3 linked regions of the Caenorhabditis elegans genome follow. The protein of the gene in region 3 interacts with the protein of the main gene of each other region in a pairwise test. Each region holds a gene or a part of one and is shown on either strand. Other genes may lie near its edges.

What was found. Proteins that work in one complex are often made in the same cells at the same time.
Region 1: the proteins of nhr-53 (region 3) and prx-5 interact in a two-hybrid assay, tested with the Caenorhabditis elegans proteins (one large-scale study listed by BioGRID).
Region 2: the proteins of nhr-53 (region 3) and col-19 interact in a two-hybrid assay, tested with the Caenorhabditis elegans proteins (one large-scale study listed by BioGRID).

What each region holds. Positions count from the first base shown.
Region 1 is NC_003280.10:8,703,020-8,707,320, reverse strand, and holds prx-5 (TPR_REGION domain-containing protein), read right to left. Parts: upstream 2,498-4,301; 5' UTR 2,497-2,497; coding exon 2,397-2,496; intron 2,348-2,396; coding exon 2,163-2,347; intron 2,115-2,162; coding exon 1,770-2,114; intron 1,722-1,769; coding exon 1,491-1,721; intron 1,346-1,490; coding exon 1,256-1,345; intron 1,204-1,255; coding exon 740-1,203; intron 694-739; coding exon 600-693; 3' UTR 561-599; downstream 1-560. Other genes in the region: Homeobox protein ceh-7, read left to right, coding at 3,492-3,689, 3,897-3,953.
Region 2 is NC_003284.9:419,973-423,251, forward strand, and holds col-19 (Cuticle collagen 19), read left to right. Parts: upstream 1-1,734; 5' UTR 1,735-1,751; coding exon 1,752-1,886; intron 1,887-1,939; coding exon 1,940-2,674; 3' UTR 2,675-2,719; downstream 2,720-3,279. Other genes in the region: hrg-11.4 (VWFA domain-containing protein), read right to left, coding at 1-85, 2,978-3,123, 3,171-3,250. UniProt on the Caenorhabditis elegans protein: Nematode cuticles are composed largely of collagen-like proteins. The cuticle functions both as an exoskeleton and as a barrier to protect the worm from its environment.
Region 3 is NC_003283.11:15,700,057-15,704,118, reverse strand, and holds nhr-53 (Nuclear hormone receptor family member nhr-53), read left to right. Parts: upstream 1-1,755; 5' UTR 1,756-1,759; coding exon 1,760-1,881; intron 1,882-2,066; coding exon 2,067-2,152; intron 2,153-2,209; coding exon 2,210-2,412; intron 2,413-2,661; coding exon 2,662-2,857; intron 2,858-2,912; coding exon 2,913-3,298; intron 3,299-3,353; coding exon 3,354-3,455; 3' UTR 3,456-3,513; downstream 3,514-4,062. UniProt on the Caenorhabditis elegans protein: Orphan nuclear receptor.

The DNA of each region.
Region 1 (4,301 bases), on a different chromosome or scaffold from region 3:
AAGAGAAAACTTGTGACTGTGCTCCTCTCAATTGGAGCTGTTTCTCTCGGATCTTCTTCTTCTTCAACCAGCTGTACCTTTTCATGATAAATGGCCATGTCATGTGCTTCAAAGACAGAAAGAGAAAAGGAAGAATGTGTTCGATGACCGGCAAATAGAAAAGAGTGAGACGTTTGGAAGAGGGTGGCGGAAAGATGATAATAAATAGAATCAGTCATATGTTCCGAGGTTTTACTCATGGAACGGTGACTCATGTGGAATTTCTGAGCATTTTGTAGAAATTCACCGTAAGAGAAATGATAGGATTTGATTACTTAGTGTCTAGAAGTCTTGAAGAATGTTATTTTAATTTAGGCATTATTCAATCATTTCATTGAGCTCTAACAATGTGAGTTCTACAAACAAAACAAAATGAGCTGAACACTTTTTGTGCTAGGTCGGTTTACTTCCTGCTTTCTTACCGCTGTAATAACATTTTATGACCCTTCCAAACTCGTGATCGGCTTGAAATTGAGATTTTCAAAATGAAAGTTTGAAAACCAAGTAAAAAAATTCGAGGAAAAATAATTATTTATTTTAGTATTTAAATTGTAATTATTCTAGACTAGAGAGGCTTTTACAGCTGCCAAATCTCGTCTTTCCACTGCTCTCAGTAAATTGTCAGGGACATTCGATGTTCGGATTGCTGCTGATCTGAAATTTGTGAAGGTGATTTTAACATATAAAGCTATAAACTAACCTCATAGTTGTCCAAATACCAGATGCATCATTTCCTCCTTTTTGCAATTCTAATGCAGATAAAAAATGTTTCAAAGCTTCATCATAAGATGATAATTGCATACAAGATATTCCCAAATTGTATCTTGCTCTGACATATGTTGGATACAATTTCAAAGCTTCTCGATATGCTGAAATGGCTTCAGCTGTGTGGTCACCATTGGCTAACGTAGCACCAAGACGATTCCAGAGACGAGCATCAGTTGGATTTTTGGAGATCGCCAACTTGAGAGAGTCGACAGCTCTTGCAAAATTGCGATTCAAGTTGTATAAAACTCCGAGAGCATTTTGAAGATCTGGATCTGGAGTTGCTCCTTGTTGCCGAGCAGCATCCAAGAATCTAGCCTCAACTCGATTAAAAGTGTCACTGTCCAGAAATGAAGAGTAGAGTGGAGGTGTGGTTGTCACTTGAGTCGAGTTTGAACCCTTAAAATATTTATTCGTGTGGGATTATTCTTGAAATAAAAATAAGAAATACCAAGTAAGAAGACATCCATTTATCCAATTGATGTAAAGCTTCATTTTCCATTCCTTCGTTCGCTTGACTGACAGACAAACCAAGAAGTGCCTGAAATAATTTTGATTTTATTGGAAGTTTTTTTTTTTTTTTCTTAATTTCTGTTCTTAAAAAGTTTTAAGAGACAGATATGAATTTTATCGCGACCTATCTATTTTATGGCATCAAATAATCAAATATTTTTCTCAAATTTTACCTCCTTGTTTCCAGCGTCAATCTGCAAACATTTTTGGAACGCTTGCATTGCTAACTGATCTTTTTCATTTTCAGCATGAGCCAATCCTAATTTACACCAGGCACGTGCATCCTGAGGATCTTTTTGAACTGCTGCTTCATAGGCAAGCATGGCATTTCCAATATCTCCATTTCTCATTAGATTGTCTCCTTCCATCAGTGGATCTGACATGGTTGTGAAAGGGTTTGCTTCCTGAATAGGAGGGTTATAAAAATGTGTTAAAGAAGACAAAAATCTTACCTGATAAACATAGTTTTCAGGACTTTGAAGAGATTCGTCCTTTTCCATATCTCTCTTAATTTCCTCCCATCTCTGTTCAAAAGCCTGTGCATCTTTCCAAGTGTTTTCCATTCCATAATTATCTTGTTGCTCCATAAAATCATCAGCCCAGTTTTGAGTCCCAGAAGATTTGGTTAAAGAAGTATCCACAGTATCCAGATATTCAGATGACCACATACCAGCATCTGTTATTGGTTGATGTGATGACGTGGATGTCATTGATGGAGCTTGAACTTGACGCCATGCAGATTCCATGCTTGGAGCACTAGATGTGTATTGTTGACTCCATTGACTCGCTAACTGGTTCTGAAGCAATCAATTGAAAATACCAATATATGAATGCATTAGAAATACCTGTCGCGGTTGAAACTCCTTTGTCCAATTTGCTGCCAAACTTGAGGATGCTGATGCCTGTGGTAAATTATTCTGCATCGACTTCATGCTGAAACTTGTTGGAGCCATTGTTCTCGCTTGTTGTCTTAAAAATTCATTAGCCATTTGTTCTCCCATAGAAGAAGATGGGAGAAGAGAAGCTGCAGCTAAAAACTTTTTTTTTTGTTAATTTTTACTTGAATATTTCCAGCTTACCATTACTCGGAGCGACTCTTTGATTGGATGTTCCAAATGTGTTAGCTAACCCGACAAGAGCATTCTGCTGTCCACATTGTCCTTCTACAACTCCTTTCATTCTGTAAAAAATTGAAGAATTCGAGAGTTAATTGTTGAAAAAAAGTAGAATTAAAAATGAAGAAAAATACAATTTACAAGAAATATATAAAATAAAGTGTGAATTTTGATTGAAAAAGAAAATAAGTGGGCCCCAGTGTAGTCTTTTCATCAAATTGATTGATACTACATTAGGATTTAGAGTGAAGGAGACGTAGTGATAAAAAGATAGTATTGTCTTATCAAAAAGGATACAATTGATGAAATTTAGATAAGGAACAACGGAGGTCGACTATCGATTTCTGAAATAACCGGGAAACGTTTATGGATTTTTTTTCCAAGTTTTCCTAGCAAGATTGAAAACGTAATAAAATAGAATACCTTATTGTAAGTTTCCAAATTTCAATCCTTCAATTAGATATTCTAGTTGCTAGTGGAGTTATCCTAGATCGTTTTAAATTAAGCAAAATGGATATTTTGCACTTGGTTTGATTTTCAACAACACGGGTTTCTGGCTCGACCCGTCGCCCCATTGCACACTTGCACGGGGGAAAAATATTTGATTGTGCAATAATAATAATAATTTTTCGTGTGCAAAAGACAAATTTTGCTCGAATGAAGTTGTGAATTTAAAGAGAGTTCCCCCATTATTCCATAGCTAGGATTGATGTCATCTGGATCAAAATTTCAAAGATATCGAAACTGGCAGGAAAAACATTATTAACCAAAAAAATGTCAAGACAACCTTATTCGTCGACTGCATACATTCAGTTTTTTCCCCTATTTTGACATATTCTGTATACCTATAGGTTTTGTAACTATAAAACATTCCTTGAATACTTTTTTGTATAATGTCATCATTATTATATTTTCTTTTATAAACAAGGCCTATTAAAATGTCCAATAAAACTACGAAGATATACACAAAAGGTGTGATTTTATAATGTATTCCCTATAATTTAAACGAAACGAAACGAAAACGGGCGGCCCCTTGTACTGACAATTGACGGCATAAATATGAAACACGAAATGGTCTTTACATTCTTACTGATGATGGTTAGACCAGAAGCTTCAACCTCCAGAATTCCACGTAGAAGAACCACATTTACAGTGGAACAACTATATTTACTCGAAATGTATTTTGCACAAAGTCAGTATGTTGGATGTGATGAAAGGGAAAGATTGGCAAGGATTTTGAGTCTAGATGAATATCAGGTTTCTATTGTTTTTAGAAATCTATTCTCTATTAAAATTGTTTGCGAAATTTATCCACCAGGCTGAGCTCCAGCAACTTCTACGTTAAGTCTAACATATCCGATTGTATGTTGTAAAGATGTGATTAGATCAATCTAGGAAAAAAATAAAAAATTTTTAAATCAGTTGTTATCATTCAATAATTTTCCGAGACGTAGCACATTACAGGTGAAGATTTGGTTCCAAAATCGTCGAATCCGGATGAGAAGAGAAGCCAATAAATAATAGTCAAATATTTATTTAATTTCATTTCACTGAAATAAATTTTGTAGTTAGAACCACTATTTCCAACATTGAAAACATCGCTTTACGGTTTTGAAAACTCCTCGAGAGCAAATTCCTGATCATCTGACACTTTTCCAGACATTAACCCATTGTCTTTTAACCTGACAAATTGTCGATTTCTTGGACAAACAGTCAAGTTGGTAGGCGAGTCATGGGGAGTACACTACATAAATGAGTTGTGATGTTTGATTTTTCTCTTTTTTGTATGTTTTGCATTGATTAGAAGCAGCCAATTCTTTCTTAAAAAATAATAAACTCATATTGTTTAAAAAATCATCTAGTGCATTT
Region 2 (3,279 bases), on a different chromosome or scaffold from region 3:
CGTTGTCTGGAGTCGTGGTTCCGCCATTGAGACAAAGAGGAATCTCGCAGTTACCGCCGGTGAAAAATTCGCCACAATAACATCCCTGAAAAAATGTAGTGCTATTAGTAATCTCATACATATAAAGATGACATTTTCCTACATATGTATAAAAATTGCAAAAAGTGAAACTTCAAATATCCATATTCTAAGACTTTTTTTCAATCTGCTCCAATTTCTCAAATCTGTTTAAATTTTTGACAAATGTTAATCAGTTTTCGGCTATTTTTGATGTCACTTGGTCTTAGAGCTTATATAGCTTAACAGTCAAAAAAGTTACGCACTTGGAACAAAAAATGCTCTAAAATTTCCAGATAAGAATTGGAAAGGTTTTGATTTGTTCCTTTCATGAATTGTGGTTTTCAATTGTTTGTTTTAAAACTATTTTCAAAAATGCAGCTTGCGATCATTCATGTGTTGTTCGTAGTTTGTGACGTCAATTTTAAAATCTTCAAGAAATACTTGCATTTCTATAAAATTGATTTGAAATTTTGAAGCCTAAATTACTGTCAAAAATTTTGATTCGAAGGTTTTCTAAAACAATGAGTGATTTCGGGCGTTATATCAAATATCCAAATATATAAAATTTCATAAAACTACTATAAACTATATGCTAGAAACTCGTATTTATACTAGAAATACTAGAAACTAGAAACTATAAAAACCTGGAACATCAAATAAATTTAATGTCAGACTACAACCCTTTAAACTACATACCAACGATTTATTAGTTTGAGCTTCAAGAATTTTATATTCTTAAGAGGGACGCACAAAAAATCACTCTTCACACTATTTCTTTGTTGAATAGAGGTCAGCGGCTTTTAAAAATTATAATTTGAAAAAAAATTGGGACTTTTTCAAAAAAAAAGCTTCCAAACGTCCCTATTAGGAAATGTAAACTTATTCCCAAAAAATTAAAAATTCCAGAGAAAGTAGACAAATTTCAGAAAACTTACCGCGCTACATCTAATACTTTCTCATAGGTTTTTTTATTGGGAAACTGATGAAAATTATTTGAATTCATAATAAAATAAATTCGTATTTAGCATTTGAAAATTTGCACCAATGTATTATTTAATTTTTTTTTTCGAAAATTTAACGCATTTTCTCTCTAAAAACTCGAAATTTAGTGTGTTCTAAACAACAGTAAGCATACAATACCTTTGTTCAAAATTGACGTGCTTTCTGAACCAATATGGTTAGTTTCAAAAATTTTTGTATTATAGGATAGAAATATTTGGAAATAAATTTTAAAACCAAACTTATGCCTTTCTCTTTTAGTATCCCAGCTAGGTAATATTTTAGTATTTGCCCAAATCCTTGAAGTAAGGAGTATATAATTTTTGAAAAACAATAAAACTCCAGATAATTCATAGTTTTTTCTCGAAAGAAAATTTTTGAGATTAGTTATTGAACTTCATTTTTGAACATTATTCGTTGAAAAACACTCGCTTTGTCTTTATTTTCAAAAAAATTCCGATTTCCCCAACCAGAAAAAAAAACAGATAGAAGAAATTTCTCCTTAAATTTCATTGTCCATCTCTCTTGGAAACACATTATCTATCAAATGAAAAACGCATTTTTTTTCCTGGCAGAAAAATGAAATTGGTTAGATTACACTGGTTAGGTTTGAAGGTGTAACTTTCGCTTTCTCAGCAACTTTCAGTATAAAAGGAAACGGTCACCATTTAGAAAGACATCAGTTCATCAACATGGGCAAGCTCATTGTGGTTGGATCCTGCGGAGTACTTGTGTGCGTTCTTGCCTCGCTTTACACCATCGGAAACCTTCTCAATGAGATCGAGGAGCTTCAAGTTGAGTTCCAGGATGGTATGGTTGAATTTAGAGTAAGTTTTACATAAAGGAAGTTAGTGTTGTTATCAATTCACTTTGTGTTCAGGCTATCACCCAAGACACCTGGGCTCGTATGGTGAGCAAGCACATCAACCCAACCGGACACACAAATGCTCCACCAACCTTTGAGACTCTCTTCGGAGCCCGTACCGCTCGTCAAGCTGGATTCGAGCAATGTAACTGCGGACCAAAATCCGAGGGTTGCCCAGCTGGACCACCAGGACCACCAGGAGAGGGTGGACAGAAGGGAAATCCAGGACACGATGGAGACGATGGAAAGCCAGGAGCTCCTGGAGTTATTGTTGCCATCACCCACGATATTCCAGGAGGATGCATCAAGTGCCCACCAGGACGTCCAGGACCAAAAGGACCATCAGGACTTCCAGGATCTGCTGGACCAGCCGGAGGAAACGGAAGACGCGGACCACCAGGACCAGTTGGAGGACCAGGAGAGCAAGGACCACAGGGAGATGCAGGAAGACCAGGAGCCGCCGGACGTCCAGGACCAGCAGGACCACGTGGAGAACCAGGAACCGAGTACAAGCCAGGACAGCCAGGACGTCCAGGACCACAAGGACCACGCGGAGAAACCGGACCAGCCGGAAATCCAGGAGCACCAGGAAACGATGGAGAGGCTGGAAAGAACGGAAACGCCGGAAGACCAGGACCACCAGGGCATCCAGGAAAGAATGGAGTTCCAGGACAAAAGGGAGAGGATGCCGCACCAGGACCAGATGCTGGATATTGTCCATGCCCATCTCGTGCAGCTTACAAGGCTTAATTCTGCCTTTCTCTGTCTTTTTTATAAATTTTCGAACATTCCAAATTGTGTTCTGTTTCTGCACTTTTTTTTAAATTGCAATTTCACATGCAAATCAAAATACTTCAGCTTTTCAAATCTGGCAAATTTCTTTTTTTTTTTAATTTGGAACACTTTTTAAAAACCAACTCTAAAAACCAACTACTAGAATTATTTACCAAAATAGAAAATTATACCAAGATTGTCCTTCGAAATATAGTCCAGTTAAAAAAATTTTTTTGCCGGGCAGCCCCAGTCCACCTGAAAATAAAGCCACCTACGTACCGTTTCATTATACAGAATTCCTCCATTTTCACAAAACCTTGCTGGCGTCGTCGAAACGTGCACGGAAGGTGTTGTGAATGTAATTTCACTTAGGTCACAGCTAAAGTCGTAGATTCTCTGGAACCTGTTTCCATCACTATCGTATCCTAGAAACCGACAATGAGAGAAGGGAGAAAATAGAAAGGAGAAATACCTCTGAACTTGGCATGATACAAGTTTTGAGACGTACAGTTATAAGATTGTTGAGTGATATGAGGGGTACTGCAGCCGTATCTGAAAAATGGTTTTTCTGCCAAAGCAAT
Region 3 (4,062 bases):
TGAAATATATGTATGATGAGAACATAAAATTCGTGGAAGAAGTTATGAGTGGGAACTGAGCGCTATCAAATTTTTCAAAGTGAAAAATTATTACAGTATTTTTCATATCACTGAAAGCGCCTTTAAAAAAATAGAATTATCAATAAAATACAAAATTAATATATTTTCAGGTAGCGTTCAATTTATGAAAAAAACAGGAGACGAACAGTAATAAAACAATATTACACAATTTGTTTCAGGTTTGCTTTGACACCCTGTACCAAAACATTTCAACAATTTTTATTCATTGATTGTCTGATGGGAAAAAGAAATATCGATAAGTGATTGAAATGGAAATCTTCTCTTGTCGGGTTTCATTTGGATTTTGAACTTGCTAAAAAATTTCACCTTTTCGGGTAACGTTCTCGTGAACATGGACTGTGAACAGGTGGTAAATAAATACGCTAGTAGGCACGCAGGCAGGCTGTGGCAAGCCTACATTCAAACACCATCTATGGTAGAATCAACTTAGAAATGTGAGAGCTAATTTGCTGAAAATCCTGAAAGTTTCTATAATTTTTTCTTTTTATATTTTCAGAGAGCTTATTTTAAGGGAGTTTAAATCCCAAAATGCTTTGTAAATTATATTTTTATTAGATTTTTCCAGAAAAATTGAACAACTGCATATCTTGCAAATTGCAAGTTTACTTCGAAAAAAATTGAACTCTTCTGGCTTCAGATTCAATTTTTAAAATACTTTCTGCTATTAATTATTTCAGATAATTTGAATTCATTTCCCACATCACGTTCAAGAAGGCTTTTTTTCTTTTAGCCCAATCTCCAACCATTTTTTTCAATCCAATCAACATTTGTAGCACTACAGTGTAGTCAGTGTGTGTCAATCTGTTCCCTTTCTCTAAAGAAAACATCACAGTCCATTGTTCCGCACAGTTGATTTACTTGTGTATTTACTTTCAGTGCCTATCCTATTTGTAGTGCACAAATGAGAGCATTTTTATAAATGAAAAGAGTCTTCTAGTTCAAGGTATTTTGGTCAAATTACATGTTTCAATTTTCAAACAGTATAAGTTTCAATTTTTGAACATTTTAGATTTTCAATTCCTAATATTTTTTATTTACATTTCACAAATCACTCGCTACTCGGGAAACATCGCAGTTAGTGAAATATGAGAAAAAATTAGACTTTTCCAACACGGGATGCTCGCAATATTTAATTTTCCAATGAAAAGTTGCTCTTTAATCTGGTGAAAAAAAATTTTAGACTATGCTGCCTTACGGCTTATGCATAATTTTTTATTTTTTATTCATAATCTCTTCCTTAGTAGCCCACATAACTTATTTTTATTTCTTGTTTCAAGGTTTTAAAATCTGGTTTATTTTATATCAATTTTGCCAAAAATTTTCAAATCCTTGCATATTAAATTCAAAAGTGATCAATGATGTTATCAATAGGGAAACCATATGACGAGGCGAAAGGTGATAAAATGATCTGATTATTGTATTATTGAGTGGTGGCCGCCGTATTTTCACTTTGTTTCACTTCAGCCAACTTGAATTGTTAGTATCTTTTTATAGATTTTTCTTACTATTGATTGTTCATTTATTAAATAGAACTTATTATACCTGAATAAATAACATTTTCATGTTTCTTATGACATTTAGCTAATTCCACTTTGGATTATCCGTCTTTCTATTTTTCAACAAACTCATTTCCCTAATATTTTTATCATCACACATTTTCAACTTTCTTTTCAGAAAAATGCCTTCCCCAACTCATTTATTAAACAATTTCGAAAGTTCTTCTTCCCAAGGACCACCTTCATATTGTCTGATTTGTTGTGAAGTTGCTGATGGACATCATTTTGGAGCAGCAGCATGTAGGCAAGTTTTTTGTATGTTCCTGTAATATATCTACAGTAACCCAACTGTAAACGTGTTAAATATTCACAAAACGTGTACCTTGTGAGCAGAAGAAGCGCTGACAAAAAATATGTGGGCGGACCTCGGTCGATGTCGGCTGCAAATTTACTTTTTTTTCTCAAATAAATTTAACGATTATGTTTCAGAGCCTGCGCTGCATTCTTCCGACGCACAGTCCAACTGAATAAGGTCCACGATTGTCCGAAAAATGGTCAATGTTTTATCTTATCAAGTGAGTATCTATAACTACACCACTACAATTTGTATGGTCCGAACTACACATATTCAGATGTGCGTAACATGTGTAGAGCCTGTAGGTACGAGAAATGTCTCGAAGTGGGAATGCAACGATCATCTGTACAACAGAAACGTGATCAACTGGGGAGGCGAGACGGTTTACCGACGAACCGTGAAGAACCAGTTCTGGACACTATGCGGAGGGCGTATGAAAAGTTACTAGTTGTCAGGAAGAAGGTTCATAACCGGCAGGAGGTAGGGGTGATTTTATACGGATATTTGGATATTGTTAAAGGATGAAATCTGAACTTATGCTTTACATTTTTTTAATTAAAAAATACTCACAGTGAGGGTCGAACCCCCTAACTTTGTGTACAAGAAAACTCCCACTGCGCCGTTTGGGAAATTAAAAAAAAAAAAACTTTAAGAACCTCGAACATAAATTACAGAGTTTCATTTCGAAATTTTCAAAAAAATTACCAAAAGCTTAAAACTTTTTTCCAGAACCAACTTCCCCGAGCCATCAGTTTCAACGAGCTTCAAGTAGTGTATCAAAATGAGATGACTGTAATTTATCAATTCCTTTGCGAAGCATTTCCCGAGTACTCTGAGCTCCTTCCAGACACAAAACGATCGCTTTTTAAGAATTTTTTCCTACCATTCACACTTTTGGAGAGCTCATATTATGGATATTTGACGAGTAAGTTCCACTTTTTAGATAAAAATTAAAATTAAATCAAAAACTGAAATTTCAGAGCAAGAAAATGTGATGCTCATTCCTTCGGGCGACTACGTTGATTTGGCTCATCTAGAGTCATATTTCAACAATAATCATCACACGTTTTCTCAAAAAGACACTATTTCGATGTTTGCTCAGCAATTTCGAATGCTCCACACTTCTATAACTGTTCCGTTGAGTGCTGAAAATGTAGATGTTAATGAGTTTCTAGCTCTAGCGGCTATAATTCTCTGGGAATCCGATTTAGAAGTAGAAGCCGATCGGAAGAATGTTCAAGAGGAAGCTGTGAAGATTAAGAGCGCTATTATCAAGGATCTACTTTTTCACTATCAATCTATAAATGTATACGCTGACGTGGCAATGAGGCTTGGCGCTGTTTTGTCCATACTTCCTTCAATTCAGGTTTGCTGCTCGCGGAGCAACAATTTTTTGATTATAAGCTCAAAAGTTGTTTCAGAGAGCCAGTCACCGTTTCCACGAGTATATGGAAATCAAAAATCTGCTCAATTTGTATGCTCTGCCCAAGAATCTCTACGACATGTTCTCGCCAACTTCCTGAATTTTAATGTTTTTTTTAAATTTATTTTCTTAGTGTACAATAAACAAGTATTATTTTTATTTGTCTATAAAATTAAAACTTTTGTTAGAATTGTCCTGAAAAGCAGAAGTGGGGAATAAGAAGAAGAAATGTGCCGAATAAATGTACCGAACAATGCGACTTTGCAGTTGAGCAACTTTTTGAAATTTTTAATCAAAAGTAATGCTATTTTCAGAAAAAATAACTTTGGCAAATCCATAAGAAGGAGAGGATTTCGCAAATTCTGTTAATGCGCTCTGGTGGAGCATGCTCAGTTTAAAAAAAAGAGTATAATTTCGGAAAGCTGTGCAAACACGCCATGCAATTTTATAATTTTCAATAGGCACACGAGGTATAAAAGCATGCCACAACCATTGTTTTTCAAGAGTTTGTTGAGTTCTGAAATAACATCAGATTAAGCTGGAGTCCGATTTGCCTTTATGACTAATGAGCCTCGTGAATATATAATATATTGTCTCGTTAGCTCTCAGAGTGTTTGATCATATTCAAAACGTGTGTAATGAGTTCTATTTGGCAGACACATCACACAACAAATCTACCTCCAACTTTTTGATCTTACAAACTTATT